6 linked regions of the Macaca mulatta genome follow. The main gene of each other region encodes a partner of the protein of the gene in region 3 in a complex. Links are inferred from orthologs where the notes say so. Each region holds a gene or a part of one and is shown on either strand. Other genes may lie near its edges.

Region 1 (4,295 bases), on a different chromosome or scaffold from region 3:
AGAATCGCTTGAACCTGGGAGGTGGAGGTTGTAGTAAGCTTAGATTGTGCCACTGCACTCCAGCATCCTGGGTGACTGAGTGAGATTCCACCTCAAAAAAAAAAAAAAAGGAGGCCTTACATTCTTTCACTGAGAAATCATACTGAAGTTAGGAATGTTCATTACCGTTGGGTTGGCCTAGGAATTACGTGTGTGTGTGTGTGTATGTATATAAAGATAAAATACCTTGTGAACTCACATTGATAACTTCCAATTAAAATTGAGGACTCCGGGGATTTTATTAAACCTCATCTATATTACAAATATATTTCTTCCCTTCCAAATTGAGTATTCTGGTTCTCAAGGGCACAAGGGATCATAGAATTAGAATATCCGATGGTTACTTATTACCTGTATCCCGTGGTAAACATACAGATGTCTCTGAATAACAATATTACTGCCACTACCACCAATGTGATGACTTGAAACAAAAAATGTTTTTGCTTTTTGCATACACTCTTTGCATTCTTCCCCCATTAAAAAAAATAGTACTATATGTTGTAGGAGTGTGCAGCTGTTACATATTATACCCTCCCTTTAAACCATGTATAGTTTTTGCAAGAAACTCTATATTCAGTGTTCAGCACCAGTCCTTATAAGTCTTGAGTCATTTTTTTTATTGAAGCTCATTCTCTAGTTAAGATTCCTCGGGAAGCGTTCATGGGAACATTATTCCTGGAGTTTTTATTACAACTTATTTATGTACTTATAAAGCTTATAGATTTAATAAAACATTATTGTGCTTATTGTTTGTATCGTTATATTTCAAATTCAGTTTTGCTGGATGTAAAAATCCTTGACTCATTTTCTTGCTTGTGTATCTTTCTTAAATATGGTACTCCATTTTCTTTTGGCAGTAAGTGTTGCTGTCAGAAAGCCTGATAATCTAATTTTCTTTTTCTTTAAAGTCCACTAATTTTACTAGTCTGTGTCTCGATGTTGGTTGCTTTGGTTCTGTAGTCTCATGTATGTGTTGTGCTTTTTAAATAATGTAGTTCAAAATCTTTTTTTATTTCAGGAATATTATCTTGAATGACAGTTCTTGGTGGTGGTGCATTATCTTTGCTTTTCTTCTTCATTGTCTCCTATTATTATTTTAGCACCACAGTCCTCTTCTGCAGTTTGATCACTGTCTGTCTTGTTTCTCAGCTACCCAGAACTGAAGCCTGTGCAGTCCATCAACGCCCATCCTTCCAACTGCATCTGTATCAAGTTTGACCCGATGGGGAAGTACTTTGCCACAGGAAGTGCAGATGCTTTGGTTAGCCTCTGGGATGTGGATGAGTTAGTGTGTGTTCGGTGCTTTTCCAGGTAAGTAACTCTATCAGCACTTTCCTTGTTGGGTACATGAATTTTATTTTATTGTGAGTGACATTGTTCCCTCCTCTTATTTGGTAATTCTCATGTCTCTTCTGTCCACTCTGTATCATAGGCTGGATTGGCCTGTAAGGACCCTCAGTTTCAGCCATGATGGGAAAATGCTGGCGTCAGCATCGGAAGACCATTTTATTGACATTGCTGAAGTGGAGACAGGTAACCTCATGAGAATCTACTGTCTTTCACCTTTGGCATTCAGGACTTCTCTTGTGATCTCATCTCTGCACGTGACTGCTTCATCAGCATTATCATGAATGAATTTGTCTCCTTTAGACAAGTGTGTTTATGTTTTGACTGTCACTGCTGGGTAGTGAGGAAGCAAAGAGTTAAGAAATAAACAGGCAGGTCTGAGGAAACTGATTTAGAAAAATATTTTGATTTATTTAAACTTTAAACTACAGAGTAAGAGGAAGAAAAAAGCATCACTTGTGGTCCCACTATCTGAATACCACCTTTTTAAAAATGCTGTGGTATATTTCTCTTTATCTGTTGCCTGTATATGAACTTGAAAAAATATTTTTTTAAATTTAAGGAATTATCAAGTTTTTGCTTTAAAAACAACAACAGAAGCTGGAAATAGAAAAATGGGAGGAGAGTATTCATTTTACAAAAGAATTTCCTCAGATTTGTTTTTTAATGTTGCTGTATTGTTTTCGGAAATCTGTGACACTCTTCGTAAAAAGGTTAAAACTACATAGAAAACTTTGAAGAGGAAAGTAAAGAACTTGAAATTCCAGTATGTAAAGAATGTCTGTGTTAGTCACGTTGTGGTGAACATTGTCCAGCATCCAGCCATGCAGATCCTTCATGTAATTGCGTGTCCCTGTGACTCGGTGACACTTTTCCTGCTCAGCGACCTGCTCTTGAGTTAACCCACCTGTGCTCAGAGCCTGCTCTGCCCCCTGCTGGCTTGTGGGCTCTCTGTGCCTGGGGGTTCTCTGTAAAATGAGGTAGTAGTTGTATCTATCTTATGGGATTAGTAGGTGAATTAAACGAGTTAATACAGGTAAGTACTTAATGAATGTGTCCTTCGTTATGAACGTATTGATTGGTTTCTCTCTATTGTTTTCTATAGGGGACAAACTATGGGAGGTACAGTGTGAGTCTCCGACCTTCACAGTGGCGTGGCACCCCAAAAGGCCTCTGCTGGCATTTGCCTGTGATGACAAAGACGGCAAATATGACAGCAGCCGGGAAGCCGGAACTGTGAAGCTGTTTGGGCTTCCTAATGATTCTTGAGAGGGGATTGTAGGTAGAGGAGGCCCTGGCAGAGGTCTTCCTTCATGTGGTTAGTTTGGTCTGTTCTCTTGGAGTTGGTGGGCACCCTAAATATTTGTAAATTGGTATAAATTGTAAATGTCTATGGTCAGGCTGCCCATTCCAGTTCTTTTGCTTTTTCTGTGTATTAGCTCTTTCCATTCTTTGCCCCCAGCGTGAGTTAACTCGTGTGGACTCTGCAGTGTAGGTAGTGACCCCAGCATACCTTGTCCTCTGGATCTCCTGTCTTCTCTGCTTTTGGGTACATGGTAGACTTTGTGGCGTTTGATACAACTTGGACAATACTTAGTTTGGAGGGAGGGGAATGGAAAGGTATGGAAAATTTTTTAAATAATTAAAAATATATATATATAATTTTGAGAATTGAGCATTTAATAAACTGACTTTTTTTATTATGGCACTTCTAAGACTTTAAAAATTATGTCCTTATGTTGCAGTTTTGTATTTTTTTTTTTAATTTGAGAAAGATAATTTAAATGTTATAATTCTGTCATTTAAATTCCCAACCAATAACCCTCTGAAATATAGGGACAAAGCTAATTGAATGACTGAACTAAAATTTTGGCTCTGAGCTTCCTGGTGGCAAAGTAAAGAGGGGAGTAAGTCAGTTAGCTTTCTTATTGAAAAGAAAAACACTTAGTGGTTCCTCATGGAGAGCAAAGCTTTATTAGTTCTTCCCTTTAAAAAAAAGGGCTTGTGTTGGGGAGGTTGTTACCTAAGAGCAGTAGTTTTTCATTATATTGTAATTTTTTTTGGTGTTAAAGCAAATACTGAGGCATACAGAAATACGTTGGTAGAATATTTTGGAAAAAGGTAAGCAAAAAGAAAAATTACATTCCTAGCACCAAGAGGTAACTACTATTAGAATTTTGATGTATATCCTTCCAGAAGTTTTCTTGTGTCCATGTTTATGTATAAAAACATGTTTATCTTCATACACGAAGGGTAGACAAACCAAGTATGGCAAGATAAGTTAGGCAAGGGGCACAGCACCGTGTTGGGGAGTATTATAAACACTCAACAAGTCTTGACAGATATTTGTAGTTACTGGGCATTCTCTACATGCCTGCTACCATAAAGAACACTTTTGTCAGCTGTTACTCAGTGTTTGCAGCAGCCTTCTGAGGTGGGTGTTATCACCATTTTACTACCTCAGGGAGTTTAAGTAACTCAGTGTTACTCATCAACTGACTGTATTCAGATCTGGGTTTGTTTAAAGGCCCACGTGCCTTTGTTTGCAATGGGCTACTCTGTTTCTGCAAGTGTTGCCATTCCCACTTCACAGATGAGTAAACCATGGCCATGAGAAGTCAGCTGTTGGGCCATCTCAGTGAGTGATGCGTTGAGCAGGTGCAGTAGTGTGCACAGTAGTGTTTGCAGTAGCGTGCTCACCTTCCCTGGTGAAGGGTCTTTTTAGTTGCAAACCAACTTGCCACCTCAGCGGCAGAAGTGGAATGTTGTTCATGTCACTGTGAGTAAATTTTGATGCATTATTTCTTGTTTTTGCAACCATCTGTCATTCCTGTGGTCTCTGCCATGTTTATATATTCCCTCTAGAACTGGAACCAGATGTTGAGGGTTTGGGTTACATCTTAATATTT
Region 2 (4,829 bases), on a different chromosome or scaffold from region 3:
CAGCCGCTCCCAGACCAGAGAAAGTGGAAGAGACCCCCACAAATCGCGGGCAATTGGCAGGTAGTGGGGGAGCCAGGGCTCTGCAGTCTTAGTCCCATTCCCCTTTAATCTCACAGCAGGCAGGGCACCCAGGCCTTACAGGAATTTACGCTGGACCATGCCCTAAAATACCTCACCCCAAATACAATAAAGGGACGAAGCACTTATAGATACCACAGACACATGTGTTTCATTTTTAGTTTTGTTAAAAAAAATTCTGACAAATCAGAAATGGGGGTTCAGGAGTGGTGGTGATGCAAAAGATGGAAGCCATGGGGTGGGGGCTGTCAGGGGTGGGGGCAGTAGTGTCTCCTTCACCCCCACCCTGGTGTCCTCTCCTGAAGGACAGACGGTCACATTCCAGAATGGGCGAGTCTTCTACCGTGTCTGTTCAACTAAGGAGAAAACATAGCATGGTCAGAATAAGGCATGAAAAGGGGAAAGCAAGGCAGGAACACACAGCGCACATGCAGATGCTGGTGTACTATGTGGGTTCAGAGAACAGATGTGGGGGTGAGGGAAGGGATGTAATACGATGAGAGAAGACAGAGACCCCACATAAAGGTCAGGAAAGCATCCCAACACAGCATCAAAGATCAGGGGGCATGAACCAGCCAAGTGTCCATTATGCATCAGGTGCCAATGATCTAAGTGATGGGATTTAGGACAAACACACTAAGGAACAGGGAGGACCTAAAGGGTTTCATGAGATCAGTACTCACTGTAGGAGGAGATGTCTATCTCATCAGGCAGCTCACTAATATTGACCTCAAAGCGATCCTGCACATCATTGAGGATCTTGGCATCATTCTCATCGGACACAAATGTGATAGCCAAGCCCTTGGTGCCAAACCGGCCTGCTCTGGCCACCTGGAAGGAGACAGAGGGTAGCACTGGAAGATCAAAGAGGAAAGAGATCCAGAGGCAGGGATGAAGATGTACAAATAGAAAAGAAGGGAATGGGAGAGTGGGATTTCTTCAGCCTGTGGGGTTTACCCGATGTAGGTAGGTGTCAGAATCCTCAGGCATGTCATAATTAAAAGCAATGTTCACCCGCTCGATGTCCATGCCTCGGCCAAATAGGTTGGTAGCCACAAGAATTCGTCGTTGAAAATCTTTAAACTGCTGATACCGAGAAAGCCTTTGTGAGAAAGGAAATTTTAAAAATGTTGAGATGCCCTTCTCTCAACTGTCTTTCTCCCAAAGACACAAAATATCTTTCCCATCTTCAACTCACCTCTCCTCCTGGGGCATCCCACGGTGGATGGCAATGGCTGGAAAGTTCTGCTCCACCAGTAGCTGGGCCAAGGCAATGCACCGCTGCACAGACTTCACAAAGATCACCACCTGTTGTGGGGTGGGGTGGGAGGTGGGGGGGTCGCGAATTGGGGGAATAGGAGTCCATAGTGTGTGTGAGACATTACATGGGAGAGAGGAGTTTCTAGTAATTACGTTCTCAGGAATTCCTCTTCATCTCTCTTATTCCCCCATTATATATTTAGAGCAGAAGAGGAAATATAACTTTATTTTAGCACTGATTTTTCCCTAGGGAGGCTGGCCTCTGAGGTAGCACAAAGTTCAGAAACCAAAACTGCCAGACATGGTAGGAGACAAGGATGAGATCACCTCATGAAAAAGTGATAAAAAACTAGAATTAAGATCTGGGGGGGTAACTGATATTCCTGCTCACCAAAACATTAAACCTAAGGGAGCTATCCTAATTCTATAAAGTAGTTTTAAGTGCAAATAGGCCACTCACAAGTATATTAATGAAACACTTTTTTGACATGGGGTCACTGTCCCCCAGACTGGAGTGCAGTGGTGCAATCGTGGGTCACTGCAGCCTACACCTCCTGGGCTCAAGAGATCCTTCCACCTCAGCATCCCAAGTAGCTGGGACCACAGGTGCACACCACCACACCCAACTCCTTTCTTTTTTTTTTTACTATTTGTAGAGATGGGCCTCTCTCTGTTACCCATGCTGGTCTTGAAGTTCTGGGCTCAAGCGATGTTCCTGCCTCAGCCTCCCAAAGTACTGGGATTTATGGGCATGAGCCACTGCCCTGCACCCAGTCACAAATGCTTCTCTTGAATAAGCAGTTATTAGAGGAATTAAACATGTAAGAACCCTAACTTGCCCCCCAAAATCATTTCAAGCCTTTAACAACTTCCTAAAACCTTTCAAGGACTTTTGGAGACAAGGTCTCACTCCACTGCCCAAGCTGGAGCACAGTAGTGCAATCATAGTTCACTGCAGCCTCAATCTCCTGGGCTCAAGCTATCCTCCCACCTCAGCCACCAGAGTATCTGGGACTACAGGCATACACCACCACACCTGGCTAACTTTTTCTTCTTTGGTAGTGAAGTTTCGCCATGTTGCCCAGACTGGTCTCAAAGTCCTAGACTCAAGTGATCCACCTGCCTCAGTCTCCCAAAGTGCTGGGAGTACACACATAAGCCACCGTACCTGGCCAAGGATCTTAACTTTTGAAGTTTATTTTCCTTGAGGTTATTGAGGACATACATATCCATGCCAACCACAGAATAGAAAAGCAGCTTCCACCTTACTCATGCTCAGCCCCTAATGTTTACACCCTCATAATTCTCTCCCACATCACACATGTGATTTCCTCAATAAAAGTGTACTTAATATCCAGGTTTCTGCTACAGCTGGAGTGCTCCAATGCTCATCCCCCTACTGGACGTGTAACTGACCTGGTTGAACTCAAGGACATCCAGAAGGTCAAAGAGCTTCCGGTTCTTCTCGTTGTCCTTCAGTTTCACGTAGTACTGCTGCAACCCATGCAGCGTCAACTTCGTCTCATCATCCACGAAGATCTCCATTGGCTGGGGGGGAGGAAGGGGTGGGGAACGGGAGGAGGGCAGAGTGGGGGGGTTAAACCTGGGGGGGTGGAGGAAGCTGATCTCCAATACACCCCATGGGGGGATGGGGAGGAAAGAGAAGATTGAAAACCCCACCCCACTCCCAAAACTACCCATATTTTACTGTGGTCTCTCTCACATTACATCTAATTTCCTTCCTATCAGAGGGGTTTTAAGACTGCCCAACTAAAAACTATCATGGGAAAGAAACTGCAAATGAAGTAAAGGAGCAGTGAAACCACCCAATGGCACAGATGCCACTACCTCAAATAGAGGTGGGAGAAGAAAGAAAAAATGTGGAAGATGATTCTCAAAGGGAGAGCAAGGCCCAAACGTCTGGGAAATGATGGGAGGCAGTGACTCAAGGTCAGAATAACTCCATCACAGCTGCTTGTAAGAACATGGGGTGGGGGCAGGACAACTGCTCCATTTGATTCTCCTACTTCAACTAAGAGAATCTCATATACATTAGGAAAGTGGATGTCAATTTTAAGATCAGAACACTGCAATGGACAGTCAAAATGCCACTTAAGGAGAAACAAAAATTACTCAAGATAAGTAACTTGCCGTCAGACCACAACAGGATAATTTTAGATGAGACTGGTCTCTTCACTAAGAATTAAACCATCTACAGGTTTACAGGGAAGGTATCAGTAAGTGGTATTAAAAAACCAAATTCAGAGCAGGCAGATATGCTTTTAAGGGACAGGATCTCACCATGTTGCCCAGGCTGGAGTGCAGTGGCTATTCACTGGCACAATCATAGCACATTATAGCCTCAAATTCCTGGGCTCAAGTGATCCTCCTGCTTCAGTCTCCCGAATAGCTGGGACTACAGGCACACACCATTATACCTCACTGCATTCATCTTTAAAATTTAAAAACCCCCTGAAGGGGAGGAGAGTAACAAAGACAGAAATTACCACAACTCCAAAATACAACTTTCCTAACACTTTTGTACTTCTCTGGGGGAAGATAGTTAATATTAAGACCCAGAGGACAAAATAGGAAAGGATGGGTATGTCATGGGAAAAAACAGAAGCCCAATCCCAAAAGGCAGGTTTTGATACAGGGTCTTACTCTATCACCCAGGCTGGAGTACAGTGGCACAATTACAGCTTACTGCCGCCTCCGTGTCCCAAGCTCAAGCAAACCCTCCTGCCTTAGCCTCCCAAGTAGCTGGGACTACAGGCATGCGCCACCACGCCTGGTTTTTCTGGTAGAGACAAAGTCTTACTACACTGCCCAGGCTAGTCTCAAATTCTTGGGCTCAAGCAATCCTCCCATCTTGGCCTCCCAAAGCACTGGGATTAGAGGTGAGCCACCAGGCCCAGCCAAGGCAGGCTTTCTAAAGAGAAGTTCCATGGCCTTCTTCAAATCTCATTCTAGCCCCAAATAAAGCTAAAGAGTTATCATCCCACGGGAAGGAACACTGCAGGGAGAACACACTCCACTGCTTATGCAATTGGCCCCACCTAGCCCCAAACCCTAACACCCACCCGATTACATCCACTTTACCTTTCCTATGTCCCTCTCCTCTGAGTATTAAAAAAAACAAAAAAATTTTTTAAGGAAAAAAAAAAAAAATCTACCACCCCATTGAGGACACCCCTCCCCAACACATATGGGGGGAAACGGGGCACGGCACGCGTTGGGTTCAGGAAAAAAACCGGGAACGGAAAAAGAGGCTGGTTTGGTCCTCAGCTTCCTGGTCAGGTTTCCCCGCGGCCTCCGCTGCCGCCATCCACCGCTGGGTGCCGTCTGCATTCCCTCGCCGCGCCACGGTGCTTCTCTGTTGCCGGCTCACATCAACCGAGGTTCCAGATGGGTGCAAGGAGATGTGGGTGGGAAGGAGTAGGGTATCGGGGATTGAGGTGCCAAAGGCCCCCACCCCTGGAGGTGGGGAA
Region 3 (4,829 bases):
AGGCGGAGGTTGCAGTGAGCCGAGATCATGCCATTGCATTCCAGCCTGGGCGACGAGAGTGAAACTCCATGTCAAAAAAATAAATAAATAAAACTCTTTATTAGTATAGAAAAGTTTATACCTAAAGTGTGACTTGAAGTATTATTTATGACAGCAAAAAAAAATGGCAACAACCTAAAATCCAACAGGGGAATAATTTTGTGAATTTTTCTATACACTAGGATATACACTAGAATGTTGCACAACCTCCTGAAAAAATGTTTACAAAGCTTTATGCCACAGGCATACATTTATAGATAAGGGGGGGAAAGGCAAAATACAAAATTAGATTTATGGTACAAAAGATAAGGTCTTCGGCATTAAAATTTTTTTTTTTTTTTTTTTTTGAGACGGAGTCTCGCTGTGTCGCCCAGGCTGGAGTGCAGTGGCCGGATCTCAGCTCACTGCAAGCTCCGCCTCCCGGGTTTGCGCCATTCTCCTGCCTCAGCCTCCCGAGTAGCTGGGACTACAGGCGCCCGCCACCTCGCCCGGCTAGTTTTTTTATATTTTTAGTAGAGACGGGGTTTCACCATGTTAGCCAGGATGGTCTCGATCTGCTGACCTTGTGATCCGCCCGTCTCGGCCTCCCAAAGTGCTGGGATTACAGGCTTGAGCCACCGCGCCCGGCGGCATTAAAATTTGAAAGAGAGACCAGGCATGGTAACTCACACCTATAATCCCAGCACTTGGGGAGGCCAAGGTGGGAGAATCACTTGAAGCCAGGAGTTCAAGACCAGCTTGGGTAACAGAGTGAGACCCCTGCTCTACAAAAATAAAAATATTAGCCAGGCATGGTGGCAGGCACCCATAGTCCTGGCTACTTGGGAGGCTGAGGCAGAAGGATCACTTGAGCCCAGGATGTCAAGGCTGAAATGAGTCGTTGTCATGCCCCAGTGCTCCATCCTGAGCAATAGAGTGAAATGCCATCTCTTTAAAAAAAAAAAAAAACGGGGGGCCCGGCTCAGTGGCTCACACCTGTAATCCCAGCACTTTGGGAGGCCAAGACAGGCAGATCAGTTGAGATCAGGAGTTCGAGATCAGCCTAGCCAACATGGTAAAATCCCGTCTCTACAAAAAATACAAATAATAGATGGGCATGGTGGTATGCACCTACCACCCAGCTCCTTGGGAGGCTGAGGACTGACAATCACTTAAAGCCGGGAGGTGGAAGTTGCAGTGAACTGAGGTCACGCCACTGCACTCCAGCCTGGGAGACAGAGTGAGACTCCATCTCAAAAAAAAAAAAAGCTCTTAAGCAATTATAACCCCAATCCCATCCATGATGAGGTTGGTGAAGTTTAAACTATCCAGTGTGAATTAATCATAAAATGGATTTGGTCTTAGAAACTATTCTGAGAGTTCCATAGTGCTTTGCTGCGTTATCCTGGGTCATGACAAAGCACTGACACTTTATGGTTAAAAGGTCAGGAAGGGGCCAGGCGCGGTGGCTCAAGCCTGTAAACCCAGCACTTTGGGAGGCCGAGACGGGCGGATCACGAGGTCAGGAGATCGAGACCATCCTGGCTAACACGGTGAAACCCCGTCTCTACCAAAAAATATAAAAAAAAAAAACTAGCCAGGCGAGGTGGCGGGCGCCTGGAGTCCCAGCTACTCGGGAGGCTGAGGCAGGAGAATGGCGTAAACTCGGGAGGCGGAGCTTGCAGTGAGCTGAGATCCGGCCACTGCACTCCAGCCCGGGCGACAGAGCGAGACTCCGTCTCAAAAAAGAAAAAAAAAAAGGTCAGGAAGGAGGAAATGTTACCTTTTCCGCTGCTCCAGCTCCCAGTCTAGACGTGCCAGTGTTTGCTGGTGAGGGTCTCCCATGGTGACTTCGGCCTTGCTGATATCTGGTGGAGCCTCCTTATAAAACTCCTCTAAACTGACCAGATCAATTTCTTCGTGCTTCGACCTACAGACAAAAACATGACATTGTGCTGCCGTTCTCAGGAAACAAAATTGTAGTTTAAGTAAAATTGTAGTTTAAGTTCCACTATATTCTGGGTTTGTCAGTTTCCATTTGCATGATGATTACAGACCAGTGCATCACATTATTTTGTTTTTGATACCTTTTTAATTTTGAAATAGTTTAAGACTGCAAGAAGGTTCAAAAATAATACTGAGAATTTATTTCCTCCATGTACCCTTCACCCAAGTTCCCCCAATGATACTAACTTATCTAACCACATTATACATTGTCAAAACCAGGAACTGACAATGGTACAATATTGTTAACTCAAGTACAGACCTGATGCAGATTTCACCTTTATTCGTATTTAACTTTTACTAGGTAATGATTTTGTGGAACAGATAAAGATGTCTCTCAAAAATCAGCATCAGGGATGGGCACGGTGGCTCACGCCTGTAATCCCAGCACTTTGGGAGGCCGAGACGGGTGGATCACGAGGTCAGGAGATCAAGACCATCCTGGCTAACACGGTGAAACCCCGTCTCTACTAAAAAATACAAAAAACTAGCCGGGCGAGGTGGCGGGCGCCTGTAGTCCCAGCTACTCGGGAGGCTGAGGCAGGAGAATGGCGTAAACTCGGGCGGCGGAGCTTGCAGTGAGCTGAGATCCAGCCACTGCACTCCAGCTTGGGCGACAGAGCAAGACTCCGTCTCAAAAAAAAAAGAAAAAAAAAAAAAAGAAAGGAAAACTGGGCCAAAAGGTTAAAAGGATGTGACTGGAAGTGAGTTGCTCCCATACAATGTACCCAGGAATCAAACTGGTAATGTAAAGACCCCCGATAGGGAGAGAGAAACCTGCTTTTTACCAAGTGCAGAGCTCAAAACTCAAAAAGGTCAAAGAGACTTTTGAGATTCTTTATGCGCCTGAAACTATGGCTTGCAATTCTCCCACATTCACCCTTGCAATTTGCCCTTCTCCCAGATCCTAGTTTCCTAAGCTCATCAGACTTCTTTTTAAAGAGAGACTTACAGGTGTGGTGGCTCACGCCTGTAATCCCAGCACTTTGGGAGGCCAAGGCAGGAGGATCACCTGAGGTCAGGAGTTCAAGACCAGCCTGGCAAACATGGCAAAACCCCGTCTCTACTAAAAATACAAAAATTAGCCAGGTGTAGTGGTGGGTGCCTGTAGTGGGAGGCTGAGGCAGGAGAATCGCTTGAACCCAGGAGGTGGAGGTTGCAGTGAGCTGAGATTCTGCCACTGCACTCCAGAGTGGGTGACAGAGCAAGACTCCATCTCAAAAACAAACAAACAAAAGAAACAGACTTACAGCGAGCTACACGGGAAAAAGCAATTACCGAGAGACCACATGTGCCAAAGCCCTGTCCTCCCAAACTCACTTAAACTCCAAACATTTGGTGATCTCCTTCTGTAGGTGCATCACCTCATACAACAGGTTCTGGAGCTGCAAGTGATAGGCATCTACTTTCTGCTTAGCCTGAAAGGAGGATAAGATCAGAGGTGAGCAGGGCAAGTAAGGATGGGGCAGAGGAGAGGGTCAGCAAACTAAGAGAAGGTGTAAAGGGAATAAAGAAGGGGATGGGGCTGGGTGCAGTGGATCACGTCTGTAATCCCAGCACTTTGGGAGGCTGAGGCGGGTGGATCACCTGAGCTCAGGAGTTCAAGACAAGCCTGGCCAACAAGGTGAAACCCCATCTCTACTAAAAACTACAAAAAGTAGCCGGGCATGGTGGTGGTGGCAGGCACCTGTAATCCCAGCTACTTCGGAGGCTGAGGCAGGAGAACTGCTTGAAGCTGGGAGGCAGAGGATGCGGTGAGCCAAGATCGAGATTGTGCCACTGCACTCTAGCCTGGGGGACAGAACGAGACTGTCTCCAAAAAAAAAAGAAGGGGATGAGGAGGAGAAAGGAGGAAGGTTAATTAAACCTTTTAACTCCTACCTCGTGGGTCTGATCTCTTCCTTTCTTCAACCTGATGTGGGCTAATCGGTTAAGCTTCTTTAGAGTCATGAAATGCACACAGCTCTGAATCCTCCGTTCTTCAATTTCGATTGCCTGTGAGCAAAGAAAACAGTAAAGCCCACTGAGACAGGCGCTTGCTCAGCTTCCTTCCGTCCCTCACCACCGACCCATCCTCATCTGGGGCCAAACATAGGCACTGGAGGGAGCCCAGAACCATGAGAAAAGTCATGAAGAAAATAAGAGGGATGGAAGGCCGGGCGCGGTGGCTCAAGCCTGTAATCCCAGCACTTTGGGAGGCCGAGGCGGGTGGATCACAAGGTCAGGAGATCGAGACCACAGTGAAACCCCGTCTCTACTAAAAATACAAAAAATTAGCCGGGCGCAGTGGCGGGCGCCTGTAGTCCCAGCTACTCAGGAGGCTGAGGCAGGAGAATGGCGTGAACCCAGGAGGCGGAGCTTGCAGTGAGCCGAGATCGCGCCACTGCACTCCAGCCTGGGCAACAGCGTGAGACTCCGTCTCAAAAAAAAAAAGAAAAAAAAAAAAAAAAAAAAAGAGGGATGGTTATATAAGGAAAACGCTTAAGAATCTCAGGCAAAAAAAAAGCAATTTCTGCTTGGACTAGAGTAACAGGAATTGAAGTTGGAATAAAGGCAGCGAAGGCACAATCTGTCTCTACAGATCCTACGCAGAGATCCCGGCAATAGTAACATCTTGCCATAAAATTTGACCTCTATAAATAACATTACAGGATAACTTAAATGGAAAATCACAGAATTATAGCCATAAAGCTTGGCTACAATAGATTGAATGCAATAATCGTAAGAAAACTTGTCAGCATAGGCACGAATATGTGCAATTCCTGGAAAAAAAATGGATTTTTTAAAAACTTATCAAGTTTTTAGTC
Region 4 (4,553 bases), on a different chromosome or scaffold from region 3:
ATGGAAAATAGAAACATTTGTCACAGCATAGCAATTCTGCAAAGAAATTTCTCCCATGACTTGCCAGATGAAATTAGAGGAAGTATTTATAGGTATTATGACACTTTTAATATGACTACAACTGCGCTAATTTTAAACTTTCATTTTTAAGATAAAAATTATTATTAAAATTACAAAAATATAACATTATTAAGGTATGATTCATGCAAAGTGTCATGTTTCTTAACTAAAATAAATGGATAAGGATGGAGCCGAACAAGTATTACACGTATAATGAAATACTTAAGAAAATCACAAGTGATTCAGCCTTAGCTTAATTTTTAAAAAGATAATAAATTCTTTATGCAAGACAATCTTTTTTTTTTTTTAGATGGAGTTTCACTCTTATTGCCCAGGCTGGAGTGCAATGGCGCAATCTTGGTTTACCGCAACCTTTGCCTCCTGGGTTCAAATGATTCTCCTTCCTCAGCCTCCTGAGTAGCTGGGATTATAGGCAGGTGCCACCATACACGGCTAATTTTGTATTTTTTTTAGTAGAGACAGGGTTTCTTCGTGTTGGTCAGGCTGGTCTCGAACTCCTGACCTCAGGTGATCTGCCTGCGTTGGCCTCCCAAAGTGCTGGGATTACAGACGTGAGCCACCGCGCCTGGCCTATGCAAGACAATCTTAACAAACTATTTACTTCAAACAACTCTTCACTTTATCAGTACATTTTTTTCTACTGAAAATGATTCCTAAAGAACAAAACAGTAGAGAAAAGATATCAACAAAACATTTGAGAATTATATTCCTCACATATTAAGGCGAGATATAGAAAGTAATGCGCATTATTTTACTTTGCATCTTATAATTACCTCTCATACCAGTGACTTTTAACAGCCTGGAACCTCTCTATACAATAAGCATACACCACAAACATTTTGCATGTAATTTCACAGATTCATGGCCCTCCTAAAGCCTCTTCATAGACTCCATTTTCAGAAGTGTAACCATTTCCAGAAATTGGCCCATTTTCCCAGTACATCCTAGAAATGCCAACTTCTAACAATTTTCAACTTATTTTGTAAGCCAATCAATGTTACCAGTTAAAAACTACCTGGAATATTAATGAGCACAAACATATCCAGCTTAAAAGCATTTTATTAAGCATTTTTGGATGTTGCTTCCTACCACTTAAGAATAAAAAAATGCATTTTAATAAAAACAAATCTATACTGAAGTCATTTTCCTTTGTGTGAGGAAATATGAATGAAATACACATTCATATTTAAAAACAGAGTATTTTACTGCCAAAACTTTAAATATCTCAAGAGCACACCACATTTTAAACACATTATGGTCACGTAGCTATTTCAATATTCCTGGGAGTGGTGGGCGATTAGCTTGTCTATGGCTTAGGATCTGTTTCCATGCTTGCTTCCTGAGCGTCTTCTACCTCTGAGAGTTTTTCATCATCTGTAATTGAGAAGGAAACATAAAACCTTAATCAAGTTTGCCTATGTTTTATATTCAATGAACACATGAAAACATGTTTATCCTGTATTAGCCAATACAATTAAAGCAAAGATGGCTACTAGTTGAATCAAACTTTCAAATTTATGTGATAGATTTCACTTTAAAAAAAAAAAAATCTGGGCAGGGTCTGGTGGCTCACACCTGTAATCCCAGCACTTTGGGAGGCCGAGGCAGGTGGATCATTAGAGGTCAGGAATTCAAGACCAGCCTACCCTACATGGTAAAACCCCATCTCTACTAAGAATACTAAAATTAGCTGGGCGTGGTTGCATGCACCTGTAATTCCAGCTACTTGGGAGGCTAAGGCATGAGAATCACTTGAGCCTGCAAGGTGGGGATTGCAGTAAGCCAAGATTGTGTCACTGCACTCCAGCCTGGGTGACAGGAAGGCTGTCTCAAAAAAAAAAAAAAAAAAATCTGGGTCTTAGGCTATTCTTTAAAACAATCAAAAGATCAGGTAATACAAAAATTTCTAACTGTCTACAGTGAATATAAAGAGCAAGTCTCCAGTTCTCCAAAGTACCCACCACTCAGTGGGTATGCAAATGTTCTTATGTACTGATTCCTTATTATTGCCTGCCTGGGTCCTGAGTTATTACATTATAGTAATCAACTACAGTGAACCAAGAAAGATTCCAAATCTATCATCCTTGAATTTTTCTTAATTTAAACCACTATGTATATCTTTAAATCCTATATTACCACAAATTATGACTTTTCTACATATATTCAAGAAAGTTGAACTTGAGTACCTTCTAACGTCATCCAGCTATATTGTTCAGAAATAGAAGGTATACTCTCTCTCCAAGATACATATTTCAAAAGATACATTCCTGGGTCATTTAAAAAATCTTCATAAACATTTATTTTGAGACTATTTCTACTTACTTTCCAATGTTTGCTGAAGTTCATGGATGGTACTAAGAAGAACGTGAAACTGTTTCCGTCTCAATTCCAGCTGTGTTAACAAGAAAAAATTTATACAAATGATGACCTATATATATAGATATATAGACAGACAGATAGACAGATCACAAAGGCTAAATATATGTGCAAATACCTTATCTTCAACACTTTCTTTAATGTGTGAAAGATGCTCTAATTCTTTTCCCAGAGCCTCTAGTTCCCTGGAAATAAAACAGTGTTACATTTTGCTGAATGGGGGAAAAGAGATTACAATTAATACCTAACTTTTTAGTTACTAGATAGGATTTTTAAAATTAAAAAAAAAAAAGACTTATAAGGAGTTATAACACTCCACTATGGTGAAACTTCTGAAGCTGGGGATGATTTCTTCTTAACTTCTAAATATGGATTTACTTTCATTAAAATTACATTTTTGGATACATTTTTAAAGTACAGAAAAACACAGATAATAAAATAACAAGACCCAAGAAATGATACATATTGTGAAGCTTAACTTCAAGGGTTTTTTTTTTTTGGTAAAAGAAATAAAACATTGCCAATTAACCTGAAATATCCTTTGAATCTTACCTCTAGACCTCTATCCTGGGCTGTTTTATCTCCTCTACCTCCCACTCAGGCAACTACTATATCATTCTAATTCTTTTTTATGCATATACTTGTATCTCTGAATAATATACAGTATTGGTATATAATATTTGAAAGGGGGTTCTAACTTTTATAAATGGTTATTATTCTTTGTTTCAGGAATGTAGTAATAATTTAAAATTTATTATGTGTCTTTTCACTATGTTTTGAGAGCTGTGTTTTAAAAGGGCATAACTAGTTTATTGTTTTTAACTGAAATTCAGTATTTTAATATATGAAGACCATATTCTATTTGTCCATTGTGCTATTAATGAATATTACATGCATTTATTTCAGACATATAAGTGGTAAGGTCAGAGGGAAATAAAATTTAACAGAGAAGTATGGGAAAATATAATATTGAAGATCTGACCCCTCCTTTTGAAACATATTTATTCTGCAAAAAATGAAATGCCTAGGGTAGTTTATGAGCATTTATGTATAAAGGTTAGTTCCTTTCAAAGTAAAACTCTACACTTACTTTAATGTCTCATGCCTGTCTGGATGGTGTTGAATCACTTTTGCCAAAGCATCATATTCTGAAAGACATAAAAATATTTATCAAACTAAGGGTTTTTTGAATATGAATTATCAAAACAAAAATGTATAATATCAACAAAAATGTATAATATCACAAACCTCTTCTAATCACTTCCCTAGTATATCAAGAAATGAAATCATTGAAAGATGAGTATTGCCAGTTTTAGTTGACTGAGTTATAATTATAATGATACACAACATCAAAAGTGTTCCAAACAGGGGTTTTAGCTCCCACTTTTTTTCCATTTATATGTCGTGGACAGAATATAAGAGGTCAGCATAAGCATAAGCAAATTTAAGTTATTATTGATTATCAAATAGACTGATTCTGAGAAGGATCTTACTCACTAGTTGTCTAAAAAATAAAATAAAATAAAATAAAATCAGTAAATATATCCTACCATTAGTTTGAGTTGTTAGTCAACAGCAAATTACACTTCTCACTCATTCCAAAAGTTAAGATTTCAGAAACGTGCAAATAACTTAAAATTCAGGTTCTACTTTCTGCTCCACTGAGACCTCCAAGATAAGTCATGTAACTTCTGTTAACCTTTCTTATGAAGTGATGAGTGATGAGTGGCAGGATTTACTTAAAAACCTCATTAACCAACGAAAACACTCCAAATATTTTTAAATGACTTTTGAACTGATACTAAGTTGGTATATCTTACTGTAAATAGGGCACCAAAACTTCACCATACACATTTTAAACTGAAAAAAACAACTTGTAAAAAGAGGAAATTAAGCTTCATCTTAATTAGTTCATTAAAAAGTGAACATTCATTGTTTTAGAACTGAGCATATTAATTCAATAAAAGTATGATTCTTTTAACACAAATTTTTTGAATTACAAAATAATACATGCCCTATGTAAAACAAAACAAAACAAAAACAGAGAAAAGAACCTAAGCCATAAAAACTCACAACTTCAAAATAACCATTAACAT
Region 5 (4,829 bases), on a different chromosome or scaffold from region 3:
AATACATCTACTTAACAAAAATAGATTTTGTGAGGGTCACTTCGTTTAGGTCATTATCTCAACCCACCCTCCTCCCAACCTCCCCAAACTCTGGTTTGAGCCAATATGTGTTCTATTGTTCTTAGAGCACCAGCCGACTGTACAACAATTGTTATAAAAATGTTTATTGTTTACCAAAACCAGTGGACCTCTTATCAAATGCTGCTTGGTAACAAAATCTATCACAGTTTTAATAAAAAGAAAAAAAAAGAAGCTAACTATTTGTCTCATTGTCATTAGTTAGACTTTCTGCAAGGTCACTTAATCCAGACTTATTCAGTGCATTAATCAGATTCTCAGGTGTTGCATGAACTCCCTCTTGATCTTGCCAGGCAACCAGGAGCTGCTTAGCTCTCATCTTCATGTCTTCACTGTCACACTCAATCTGCCTAATTTCTGAGTCTTTCATTTCCAAGTAGGGAGCCAGAATCTTCCATTGTTCACCCAGCTTGTTGGCAAATACCTCTATTTGTTCTCCTGTTACAGGTTTGTCTCGCCGAACATCAGGACCTAGAAAACGGAGAGAATATAAATTATGTGCAATTCTAAGTATACAACAGAAATGGAAAGCTATGGGGCCAATGAGTTTTATTAACCACCTTTAGTAGACTTTATTTTAAAAGCAAACAATTATTTTTTATATCCTCCATAAGCTGAATACCACTCTTAATAAGCATGGTCAACAATCAAAGCTAAAGCTGTTACCTCTGTTAAAATTATGTAGGCTTTCCCTGAAATGAACTGCTCCCCTTCCAGTAACCAATAATTAACAAAGGTATGGGTCACCTTCAAATGTATTTTCCTTCCCTTTTAAAGTATCATTACTCCCCAATTTTATTGCATAAAATGTAGTATTTTTAAAGTTATTATTAAGCAATGTTTTACATTCCTCACTGTAAGTCAGAAACAGTTGAGATAAAATGGGAGAAGTTGCGAAGCCGATTAAATAATGTACCTATCAACAAAGAACCCCAATCTTCTTCAATTTTGTTAAATAACCAAGAAAATTAAATTCTTACTTTCATTTTCCTTCAGTAAAGCATCATTATCTTCCTCATCTTCATCCTCACCTGTTTTTATTTCTTCAGAAGGAGGCTAAAAATGAGAAAGAAGAATGTTTGAAAGAATGCCAGCCTCTGAAGTACGGTAACAAGTACTTTGTTTAGATAAAGATGATTGTGAGATTCCAAGTACAGGGTGCCAGAACCTCACCCCTGAGAGCGTTAGACAGTGTCAGGTAAGGATCCTAAGTGGGACTGTCTTCACATGCAGAAGGAGTGAACTTGGTAAGACCCCAGAGTTGGAAAGACTCCCCACCCCCAATCTGGGAAGCAGGAAGGCCGTGAAAAGCACAGTTCCAGGATTTGCAAATACCCAGGGTTTAGTAAAGATGGCCTCAAGGAAGCCAGTAGCAACAGTGTCCTTAAAAGTTTCTGATTCTTATCTTTTACCTTTGATAAAAGACAATATACTGCATTGGCAAACAGGAAAAAATTCCTGTCTGTGTGTATAGGTGCATAACAGTTTACCTAAAGTACCATGAATTTTATATACTTTTTTGAGATGGAGTCTTGCTCTGTCGCCAGGCTGGAGGGCAGTGGCACAATCTTGGCTCACTGCAACCTCTGCCTCCTGGGTTCAAGCAATTCCCTTGCCTCAGCCTCTTCAGCAGCTGGGACTACAGGCACCTGCCACCACGCCTGGCTAATTTTTTATATTTTAGTAGAGATGGGGTTTCACCATGTTGGCCAGGATGGTCTCAATCTCCTGACCTCATGATCTGCCTGCCTAGGCCTCCCAAAGTGCCGGGATTACAGGCGTGAGCCACCGCGCCCAGCCCTGTTGAACCTTAGTTAAATTACATGCTGTACAGAAAATTATCAGTTACTTCTTTATCAACTCATGTATTTCCTGTAAATGTATATTCCAGTGTGTTTTTCCCTCATTCTAAAACATGGGAGCTTGTGGACCACTGGTTTTTCACATGATTAAGTCAGTTTTTTGCTCACATAGTGATAGCAGTTTTAAAGATGATGTCAACTAAAGGGCATGAAAAGTTGATCTATGGTACTTACCGGTAATTCCTTGGCTAGCTTTATTACCATGTTTTCAAGATATTCTGGTAAACTTTTAAACTGCTGGTTGGTTGGCTGGAAGAAGTGAGGGCTTCTCCGTGCTAATAGTCTCAGGGCTCTCCAACCATAATTTGAATTGTTCACAGCCCTATAAAAAGAGATGTCAGGCTTGTAATTCATAGTTTTGTATTTCTGTATTCCCTTCTGCTTAGTTCTGCCACGTGCAATTCTATATTTAAGGTAAATAGCTCAAAGTACCATTCTTTTGATTGGAATCTTATTCCTCAAGAACTTTTCGGGATGTTGTCCACTGATAATAACAAATCAACAGATACACACATAACTAATAACAGGAACCAACAATGTCTGAAGAGGCAGGCTCATATGAGCAAACACATTTTCAAAGTTCATACATTTTGTTTAATTTTAACAAGTCAACAAGTGTGTGCAGTACTGGCTAGATGCAGTATGTGTACAACAGGAATCATCCATCTGGCTATTCGGAATCCATGAACTGTTCCCTAATGAAGTATAACAATGATCAAGGTGGTATACAATCAGGTGAGAAACAGAAACTGCAGAGAAATTCTAAAGATAATGCTCCAGAAATACGCAATGCTGCAGAAGAAACCAAACCACCAATTTATTCCATTTAAGAGTTTTGGATTGGAAGTCTCTCCCTCCCCTAAGAATAGCAATTTGGTTTATTTGGTCATCTCTTATAAATGAGCGTGTGTTACCTTTAGGATGTGCAGGTACCACTGAAGACTTAACAAAAACTACCCCTAGACATTGAGGACTCTTCCCAAGTCAACACCTGCTGTGAGGCTTTGCCCGAACAGTTAAGAGCCTTCCTCTCTGACATATCTCTGTTTAAACGATTTGATTATTTTAGGCATGTTCAAAATTCACTGTCAATTATATATATCATTTTTCTTATTCTCCACAAAACCCTCTTTGGAGATAATAATTTGAACTATCACTTTAGGAATGAGTCCATCTAGTCTTACGTAACAGTGATAAATATTCTTTCAATTGACAAACACTTGAGCCAGGCACTCAGTAGCTGTGGAGAGTACCTGAGGCACAGTAATGCAGAATGTGTTGGCAGGCATCGCTAGTGATAAACACACAAGGTATAAGATAATTTCATAAGGATGAGGAAAACGAGAAATGAGAAGGTGGTGAGTGCCACCTTCTCATTTGGATAGTGGTAAGTGCCATGAAATAAAAACCACGAGAATGCAACAGAGGAGACCAGGGAGGGGAAGAGCTTCCAGGGGGACTTAAAGCCATGGGAACCTTGGGGGAAAAGTGGTTCAAGCAAGTGAGACAGTCAAGTGTGAAGGTCCTGACGGGAAAGGGAAAGACGTTTGAAGTGAAGAGCACCAGGCCTGCTGTGGTTAGAGCAGAGGGAAGGCATAGCTACACAGGACAGTATAAGCCAGACCAAGGAGGTTTTTAGACCCTGGGAGGGACTTTGGAACAGGCACTCACTGGAAGATTTTAAGCAGATCAGACTTGGACAGTTATTTTAAAGATCACTGGCTGATACATGGAGCACTGACCACTGCTAGAGAAAACAGTGAAGAGGTCACAGAGGTCACAGTAATTAACAACTCTGGGCACAGGGTCACACTAGTAACGAATATTGAGTGCTAACGACATGCCCTGTATGGTTGAAAGTGAACTGTCTTATTTAATCCTCAGAATAACCCTGTGAAATGGGTACTGTTACTATTTAACAGATGAGGAAAGGGAGGATGGCGATTCAATTATTAAATTAGCCTTAGTCTAATAAGTAAGTGGTAGAGGGGACTGGAACCTATGCATTCTGACAAGAGGCCTCTTGCCTTTAAACCACTACTCTTCGATTCCTATTGAAAGCCATGAGACTGTGGTGTCACCCAGAAGGTTCTAGATAAAGAGGCTAAGACTGAGTCCTGATGTTACTCCAACATTTGAGTTAGGCAGAGGATGAGGAGGCTGAAATGGAATGTGAGGTGGAGTGGGCAGCGAGGGCAAAGGGCAAACAGAAGAACCATGGATTTGGATTCTCATGGACACCAAGAGAAGAAAACATTATCTAAGGGGAACAGGATAGGTTAAGAGCTGCTGTGAGATACTGTGCTTTGAAGGGTAGAGAGAAAAGAACTAATAGTTGGAGAGAAATGGGGGCCAGGGGGAGTTTTTTTTTTTTTTTCTTATATTTTGAAACAAGGGTGATTCCAAGTCACGCTTAGTTAACAGGAATACTCCTTGAAATCAGGATGTGTCCTAACAGGAACTCCCCTAAGAGAAAAAGCACTACTCTATCCACTGCCTCTCTTAATAAGTTTTCTAGTATACACATAATTCCTAAGGAAAAAACAAATCGAATAAAATTAAAATGAGCTAATGAGAAACATTACTTACTTATATTCATTTTCAACCATATTTTCAGGGTCTGCCTGTTCAATGGCTTCTTCAAAGAATTCCTCCAAAGTGGGCATGTATTCCCTGAGCAGTATAAAATAACTAGTGAGGATCACATATATTCTTAATAATAAATACTCATAAAGTGGTGGCAAGACAAGATTCTAATGGCCCCATACTTTTAGTTACAGTTTTGATTACTTGGGAAGTCAGACTTTTAAGGAACTAAAATCCTCAAAACTAAATTCAGAAAGGACAATAAAGAGGGGATAGTCTAATACTAAACACTATCATATAGTA
Region 6 (5,440 bases), on a different chromosome or scaffold from region 3:
TTAAAGCTTATCTACTAATTTATCTTGTTAAAAAGGAAAAATTCACCCAAGGTATAATTTTAAATATTGGTCATATTCTAAACGCCAAATCTATAAATAGATTCACTAATAATTTGGTGGCACACTACCTTCATTTTTAAATTTTCCCGTTGCTCTTTTATATTTCAGAGGCTGTTTTCAGACAAAGGAAAAATGTTTTTTGTAATATATTTGCACCACCACGTATTCTGCCTAGTAATATGAAAATGCTAACACCTATCTTTAAGAAGATACAAAAACTCCAAAGACATGCTATATGCAACAAAGTTTTCATAGAGGGAAAACAGGTCAAATAAACTGAAACTAAGTACTGAATGGTGATGTGTTTAACTATTTAAAATAGCTTATTATGTTACACAATTTTAAACTCTCTTCCTGTAACAGAATGCAATCATAAAACTGACTATACTGATTTGGATCTACTATAATTCAATCCACATTCCACAAGTCATGCAATAACTACATACATGTAAGTTCTAATAACAGTTTTTTTGTTGTTATTTTTGTTTTGTTTGTTTTTGAAAAAGAGTTTCGCTCCCCTTGTTGCCCAGGCTGGAGTGCGACAGCTGCGATCTCAACTCACCGCCACTTCCGCCTCCCGGGTTCAATCGATTCTCCTGCCTCAGCCTCCCGAGTAGCTGGGATTACAGGCATGTGCCACCACGCCTGGCTAATTTTGTACTTTTAGTTGAGACGGGGTTTCTCCATGTTGGTCAGGCTGGTCTCGAACTCCTGACCTCAGGTGATCCACCCACCTCGGCCTCCCAATGTGCTGGTATTACAGGCGTGAGCCACCTCACCCGGCTTCTAATAACAGTTTTGAAGCAGCTCTTCAAATATAAGAACTATGACAGGTAGCATGTATTATATAAATACACATAATGTGAACCTAAAATTCCATTTTTTCTAGGTATTTCGACCTCCTACATCACTTTTTCTCCAACCATTACCAGTCAGAAGCCAAGCAGAATTTCACCTTGTAGCCCTAATACCACTCATTCTAAGGTGGGAGCAATAACAGTAAAACTGTTGGGAGGCCGAGGCGGGCGGATCACGAGATCAGGAGATGGAGACCATCCTGGCTAACACGGTGAAACTCCGTCTCTACTAAAAATACAAAAACTTAGCCGGGCGTGGTAGCACGTGCCTGTAGTCCCAGCTACTCGGGAGGGTGAGACAGGGAGGCTGAGACAGGAGAATCGCTTGAACGCGGGAGGCAGCGGTTAGTGAGCCGAGATCGCGCCACTGCACGCCAGCCTGGGCGACAGAGCGAGACTCCGTCTCAAGGGGAAAAAAGAAAAGCAAAACTGTCAAAAAACAGTAGCTGAAAGGAGGAAGCTGAGCCATCTACAAAGATAACAGCCCCTAAATAAATGAGCTGGCTTTAAAAGTAAACAAAACAGTGAATTGCTTTACGAGTTTTGGTGGATTACCCTAATATGGATGAAGATGATGGTCTGGCTGGGTAACTTCCCATCTTGCCTTCCCCAAACTTGATGGCTATTTGTCAACTAGCTATCAAACGTGATGGCTATTTGTCAACTAGCTAACAAACTTGATAGCTATTTGTTAACTAGCATGTACGAGGATTTGTAAAATGTTCATTACAGTTAAAAACGAAGGTTTATCAAATAGTCTTCTCTGACAATTAATAAACCAATAAGCACTCTAAGCATATGCTGGGGGGGGGGGGGGTGGGCGTGCGTGGAACCGAAAGAAATATGAGACATAGTCCCTATCTTTCAAGGGCCTCTCAATTCATTACAGTGCAAGAGTAAAAACACATGAAGGAGTCAGAGACCAATTAATTGCTAACCAGAGTGGTACAGACTTTAAGTGCATGAGCTGTCCTGAGAAGTTTAAATATCTAAAGGTTGGAATAATATTACTTTTAATAGCTATCACTTGAGCACTTACTATAAGCCAAGTGCTTTACAGGCATTATTTAGTCTTCACAACAATCCTTTGAGTAGAGTACTTATTATTCCCAATTTACTCAAGGGGAAACAGTCCAAGTGGTTAAGGAACTTACCCAAGGTCACTCGGCTAGTTAAGTGGCTAAGACAGCCGCTTATTTAGGGAATTCTAGCGCTCGCACTGTTAAGACTTCATACAGCAGTGCGGGGGGTGCGGGGGAGGAAGCCACATAGGCTGGCACTATTACAAGCGCGGGATCCGGCAACGCGTTCCTCGTGTTTCGTTCCAAGTAATGAAGTTACAAAGATCTGAATCGTTAGCATGAGCCACGGTAAACTGGCTACTAGAAATGGAGAGGGGTGGGCAAGGACGACAAAAATGGCTAACAAGAGTTAATTTGATCCAGGGTTGAGCGTTAGCATCTAAAAGCGATCCAGAGAAGGAAATGAGAAGCTGTTATTAATATGTTTTCTTAAATCTGAGGTTTGCTTTGCTGCTTAAACGACTTTTTTCAGGGAGAGGGGAGGAGGGAGCGCTCTAATGTGGGGGCGAGAAGACTAGGGGTATGGCAAATTACTGTTTTCGGCGTTACGGGGGAAAAGTTTCACGACTAAAGGAAACGCGTTATCCTAGGTACTCGAGAAGCTTGGAGAGTTGCCAGAATTAGTTGCAGTCCCAGGATAAAATGGGGTTTAGGGAACATTTAATGACGAAAGTTAAATCCAACCCTAAATAGCTCTAAGGTGAACAGACGGAGCAAAGAAATGTCTGTAGTTCTTCAGGGAAAGCGGCAATCCCTGCCACACTTCCCCACGGCGCTACGCGAGGCCGGGACAGTCAAGAGACCGCTCCCCGGGAGGACGAGAGGTGCCAAACCGGGTTCTTCGCGGCGCCCCGGGCTTCGCGGCAGCGGGCGAAGAGGAGGGGAGGGAATCCGGGACGGTTCGCCCTCCTCGGACTTCAGGCAGAGGAGGCGCCAAGCTCCAAACTGCGGAGTCCAACGGGTGCAGAGTGAAGAAATGGGACAGAGAGAGATGGAAAGTCCGAATCGCCCCAGCGCAGCCCCATAAAGATAAAGGAGCCCAGTGAGATCAAGCGAAAAGGGGGACACAAAAAGAGACCAAGAGGGAGCGCAGAGACCTGCAGGGGCGGAACAGGAGTTCTACTAAGAGGCTAAAGAAAGCCGAGCTACCGCAGGCAGTAGCGATTTCTGGGAGGCCAGGGAAGGAAAGAGGTCCGCGGCGGTTAACAGCACCTCTCCCCGAGTTCGAAACTCCTAGCCGACCATCCACGCCCGCCGCCCGGGTGGGGGAGGGGGTACATCTTCCCCCCCCAACCTCCCACCACAGGTGAGAGTGCAGCTGACGCCCTGGCCCGGCCCGGCAGTGCGCCTGCCTCCGGCCCGAACACTCACAATTCGCCTCTCCCTGATTTCTCCCAGTTCTTTATCCACTCTGCAGGAACCACCACAGCCGCGGCCGCCATCTTCCTCTCACTAGTAGCAGAGGCCCGGATGTGTAGCACGCGAGCGAAGGGTCAAAGGGGAGCACCGCCCACGAGGAATGCCGGGAGCTGAGAGTTCGTTTTTCGATTTCCCGCCCCACTTTCCTCCCCACCCAGCGGAAACCCGAGGCTCGGCAGCCAACGACGTGGAGACTCGCGGGCTCCTTTGCGAAGTTACTCCGCGGGCTGCGCCGTCCGAAGTCCTCAGCCTTTCCATTAGAACAGAAAAATGCCATCCACGGGCCAACAAGTAGACCTTATCTTCTTCCATAGTATCTACCCCAACCACTAATACAAACACGCATTTTTCAAGCACCTAATATGTGCTAGACACTGGGGATAGAGAAATAATACAGTCTTTGGGAAAGACATAAATATAAGCAGATAAATTACATTACGCCCTGCTGACTGCTGAGATAAAAGGAAATAATCGGGAAGGTGGTAGCCATTGTCTGTGTGCCAAGCATTACGCTAATGCGAGGGATACGACCTAACCGTGGGAAACATGGATCCACGAGTTCTGACACGCTGCGTTGGCCTGCTATCATTGTTACCTTAGGCTAAACTAGGGACTAAGTACCATGAAAAACAAAATGGGCCGCGCACGGTGGCTCACGCCTGTAATCCCAACACTTTGGGAGGCCGAGGCAGGTGGACCACCTGAGGTCAGGAATTTGAGACCAGCCTGGCCAACATGGTGAAACCCCGCCTCTACTAAAAATACAAAAATTAGCCGGGCGTGGTGGCACGCTCCTGTAATCCCAGCTACTCGGGAGGCTGAGGCAGGAAAATCGCTTAAATTCGGGAGGCGGAGGCTGCAGTGAGCCATGATGGAGCCACTGCACTCCAGCCTGGGCAATAAAGTGAGACTTCATCTTAAAAAAAAAAAAAAAAAAAAAAAAAACACTGTATTATTCCTTAATCTACAGATATTTCAAATTTGATCTTTTTTTCTTTTCTTTTCTTTTCTTTTCTTTTTTGAGACAGGGTCTCACTCTATCGCCCAGGCTGGAGTGCAATGGCACAATCATGGCTCACTGCAGCCTCTACCTGCCTGGGGTCAAGCTACCCTCCCACCTTAGCCTCTTGAGTTGCCGTGACTACAGATGCACACCTCCAGGCTCTGCTAAATTTTTTGTATTTTTCTAGAAACAGTTTTTCACCACATTGTCCAGGCTGGTCTGGAACTCCTGGCCTCAAGTGATCTGCCCACCTCAGCCTCCCAAAATGCTAGCATTACAGGCGTGAGCCACCCTGCTCACCCCAATAATACTTTTTTTTTTTTTTCATGACACAGTCTCAGGAAGTCCTGACAACATGTGCTCCCACCCCACCTCCATAATGCTTGTTATAGCAACAACAAAAAAAAATTTTTCTGACTGCGTATCAGTTATCACATCTCCATTAATCTGGAAGAATTCCTCAGTCTGTCTTCCACAACCTTGACATTTTCGAAGAGTGCAAGCCAGTAATTTTGTAGATTGTACCTCAGTATTTGTTTGTCTGATATTCCTTCACGATTAAATTAAGTTTATGCAATTTTTTGACATACTACAACATCGTGTTTTTCTTTTTTTTTTTTTTTTGTAATTTTAAAATACTTTATTGTTAATAAATGCTAACAGTCATCTTAGCCCTCAGAGAGTTATAACCTTTTTGCTGGTCAAGGGTCTTGTCTCAATGTGGATGGCTGCTGTTGTGGCAATTTCTTTCTTATTTATTGTTTTAAATTTAATTTAAAGTTCTGGGATACATGTGCTACATGTACAGGACGTGCAGGTTTGTTATGTAGATAAACGTGTGCCATGGTGATGGGAAAACACCCACTGACGTATTTAGAGTTAACACCTCTGGAACCGGGTGTGGTGGCTCACCCCTGTAATCCTACCACGTTGGGAGGCTGAGCCAGGTGGATTGCTTGAGCTCAAGAGTTGAAGACCAGTCTGAGCAACAGAGTGAAACCCCATCTCTACAAAAAATA

Evidence for each region.
Region 1: THOC5 (region 3) and THOC3 share a complex: the UniProt entries of both Homo sapiens proteins name them as parts of the transcription/export (TREX) complex. The link is inferred for Macaca mulatta from reciprocal best matches to the Homo sapiens genes THOC5 and THOC3.
Region 2: THOC5 (region 3) and DDX39B share a complex: the UniProt entries of both Homo sapiens proteins name them as parts of the transcription/export (TREX) complex. The link is inferred for Macaca mulatta from reciprocal best matches to the Homo sapiens genes THOC5 and DDX39B.
Region 4: the proteins of THOC5 (region 3) and THOC7 are in contact, whole or in part, in a cryo-EM structure (PDB 7APK), measured with the Homo sapiens proteins. The link is inferred for Macaca mulatta from reciprocal best matches to the Homo sapiens genes THOC5 and THOC7. Residues at the interface, in NP_001002877.1 of Homo sapiens: Pro48, Asp51, Tyr52, Tyr55, Cys59, Leu62, Gln63, Met66, Ala67, Gln70, Phe95, Lys99, Leu101, Asn102, Ala105, His106, Arg108, Leu109, Gly112, Arg113, Gln115, Thr116, Ala119, Lys120, Val123, Tyr126, His127, Leu130, Leu133, Glu136; in NP_079351.2 of Homo sapiens: Ala21, Asp23, Ile27, Leu30, Val31, Phe34, Tyr50, Met53, Leu54, Leu57, Cys60, Glu61, Met64, Gly65, Thr67, Leu68, Val70, Tyr71, Asn74, Met78, Tyr81, Ile84, Tyr85, Ile88, Glu89, Ser91, Ile92, Ala95, His96, Lys98.
Region 5: the proteins of THOC5 (region 3) and THOC1 are in contact, whole or in part, in a cryo-EM structure (PDB 7APK), measured with the Homo sapiens proteins. The link is inferred for Macaca mulatta from reciprocal best matches to the Homo sapiens genes THOC5 and THOC1. Residues at the interface, in NP_001002877.1 of Homo sapiens: Tyr52, Arg113, Lys120, Asp124, His127, Leu128, Gln131, Asn132, Leu134, Tyr135, Glu136, Met138, His139, Thr145, Lys146, Glu149; in NP_005122.2 of Homo sapiens: Glu60, Arg145, Arg146, Leu147, Ser148, Ser150, Gln151, Lys285, Met286, Leu289, Val296, Tyr297, Phe298, Leu302, Ser304, Leu307, Leu310, Gln311, Ser313, Asp314.
Region 6: THOC5 (region 3) and THOC2 share a complex: the UniProt entries of both Homo sapiens proteins name them as parts of the transcription/export (TREX) complex. The link is inferred for Macaca mulatta from reciprocal best matches to the Homo sapiens genes THOC5 and THOC2.

The regions. Positions count from the first base shown.
Region 1 is NC_133411.1:184,887,345-184,891,639, reverse strand, and holds the end of THOC3 (THO complex subunit 3), read left to right. Parts: intron 1-1,188; coding exon 1,189-1,350; intron 1,351-1,471; coding exon 1,472-1,572; intron 1,573-2,491; coding exon 2,492-2,655; 3' UTR 2,656-3,063; downstream 3,064-4,295. UniProt on the Homo sapiens protein: Component of the THO subcomplex of the TREX complex which is thought to couple mRNA transcription, processing and nuclear export, and which specifically associates with spliced mRNA and not with unspliced pre-mRNA.
Region 2 is NC_133409.1:150,796,139-150,800,967, reverse strand, and holds the end of DDX39B (spliceosome RNA helicase DDX39B), read right to left. Parts: intron 2,887-4,829; coding exon 2,755-2,886; intron 1,387-2,754; coding exon 1,277-1,386; intron 1,181-1,276; coding exon 1,036-1,180; intron 910-1,035; coding exon 762-909; intron 435-761; coding exon 418-434; downstream 1-417. UniProt on the Homo sapiens protein: Involved in nuclear export of spliced and unspliced mRNA. Component of the TREX complex which is thought to couple mRNA transcription, processing and nuclear export, and specifically associates with spliced mRNA and not with unspliced pre-mRNA.
Region 3 is NC_133415.1:22,013,253-22,018,081, reverse strand, and holds part of THOC5 (THO complex subunit 5), read right to left. Parts: intron 4,018-4,829; coding exon 3,904-4,017; intron 3,441-3,903; coding exon 3,343-3,440; intron 1,949-3,342; coding exon 1,802-1,948; intron 1-1,801. UniProt on the Homo sapiens protein: Component of the THO subcomplex of the TREX complex which is thought to couple mRNA transcription, processing and nuclear export, and which specifically associates with spliced mRNA and not with unspliced pre-mRNA.
Region 4 is NC_133407.1:127,391,102-127,395,654, forward strand, and holds the end of THOC7 (THO complex subunit 7), read right to left. Parts: intron 3,606-4,553; coding exon 3,548-3,605; intron 2,643-3,547; coding exon 2,576-2,642; intron 2,474-2,575; coding exon 2,404-2,473; intron 1,456-2,403; coding exon 1,388-1,455; 3' UTR 1,123-1,387; downstream 1-1,122. UniProt on the Homo sapiens protein: Component of the THO subcomplex of the TREX complex which is thought to couple mRNA transcription, processing and nuclear export, and which specifically associates with spliced mRNA and not with unspliced pre-mRNA.
Region 5 is NC_133423.1:71,546,509-71,551,337, forward strand, and holds the end of THOC1 (THO complex subunit 1), read right to left. Parts: intron 4,614-4,829; coding exon 4,530-4,613; intron 2,263-4,529; coding exon 2,115-2,262; intron 1,135-2,114; coding exon 1,059-1,134; intron 550-1,058; coding exon 254-549; 3' UTR 242-253; downstream 1-241. UniProt on the Homo sapiens protein: Component of the THO subcomplex of the TREX complex which is thought to couple mRNA transcription, processing and nuclear export, and which specifically associates with spliced mRNA and not with unspliced pre-mRNA.
Region 6 is NC_133426.1:130,143,692-130,149,131, forward strand, and holds the start of THOC2 (THO complex subunit 2), read right to left. Parts: upstream 3,447-5,440; 5' UTR 3,442-3,446; coding exon 3,371-3,441; intron 1-3,370. UniProt on the Homo sapiens protein: Component of the THO subcomplex of the TREX complex which is thought to couple mRNA transcription, processing and nuclear export, and which specifically associates with spliced mRNA and not with unspliced pre-mRNA.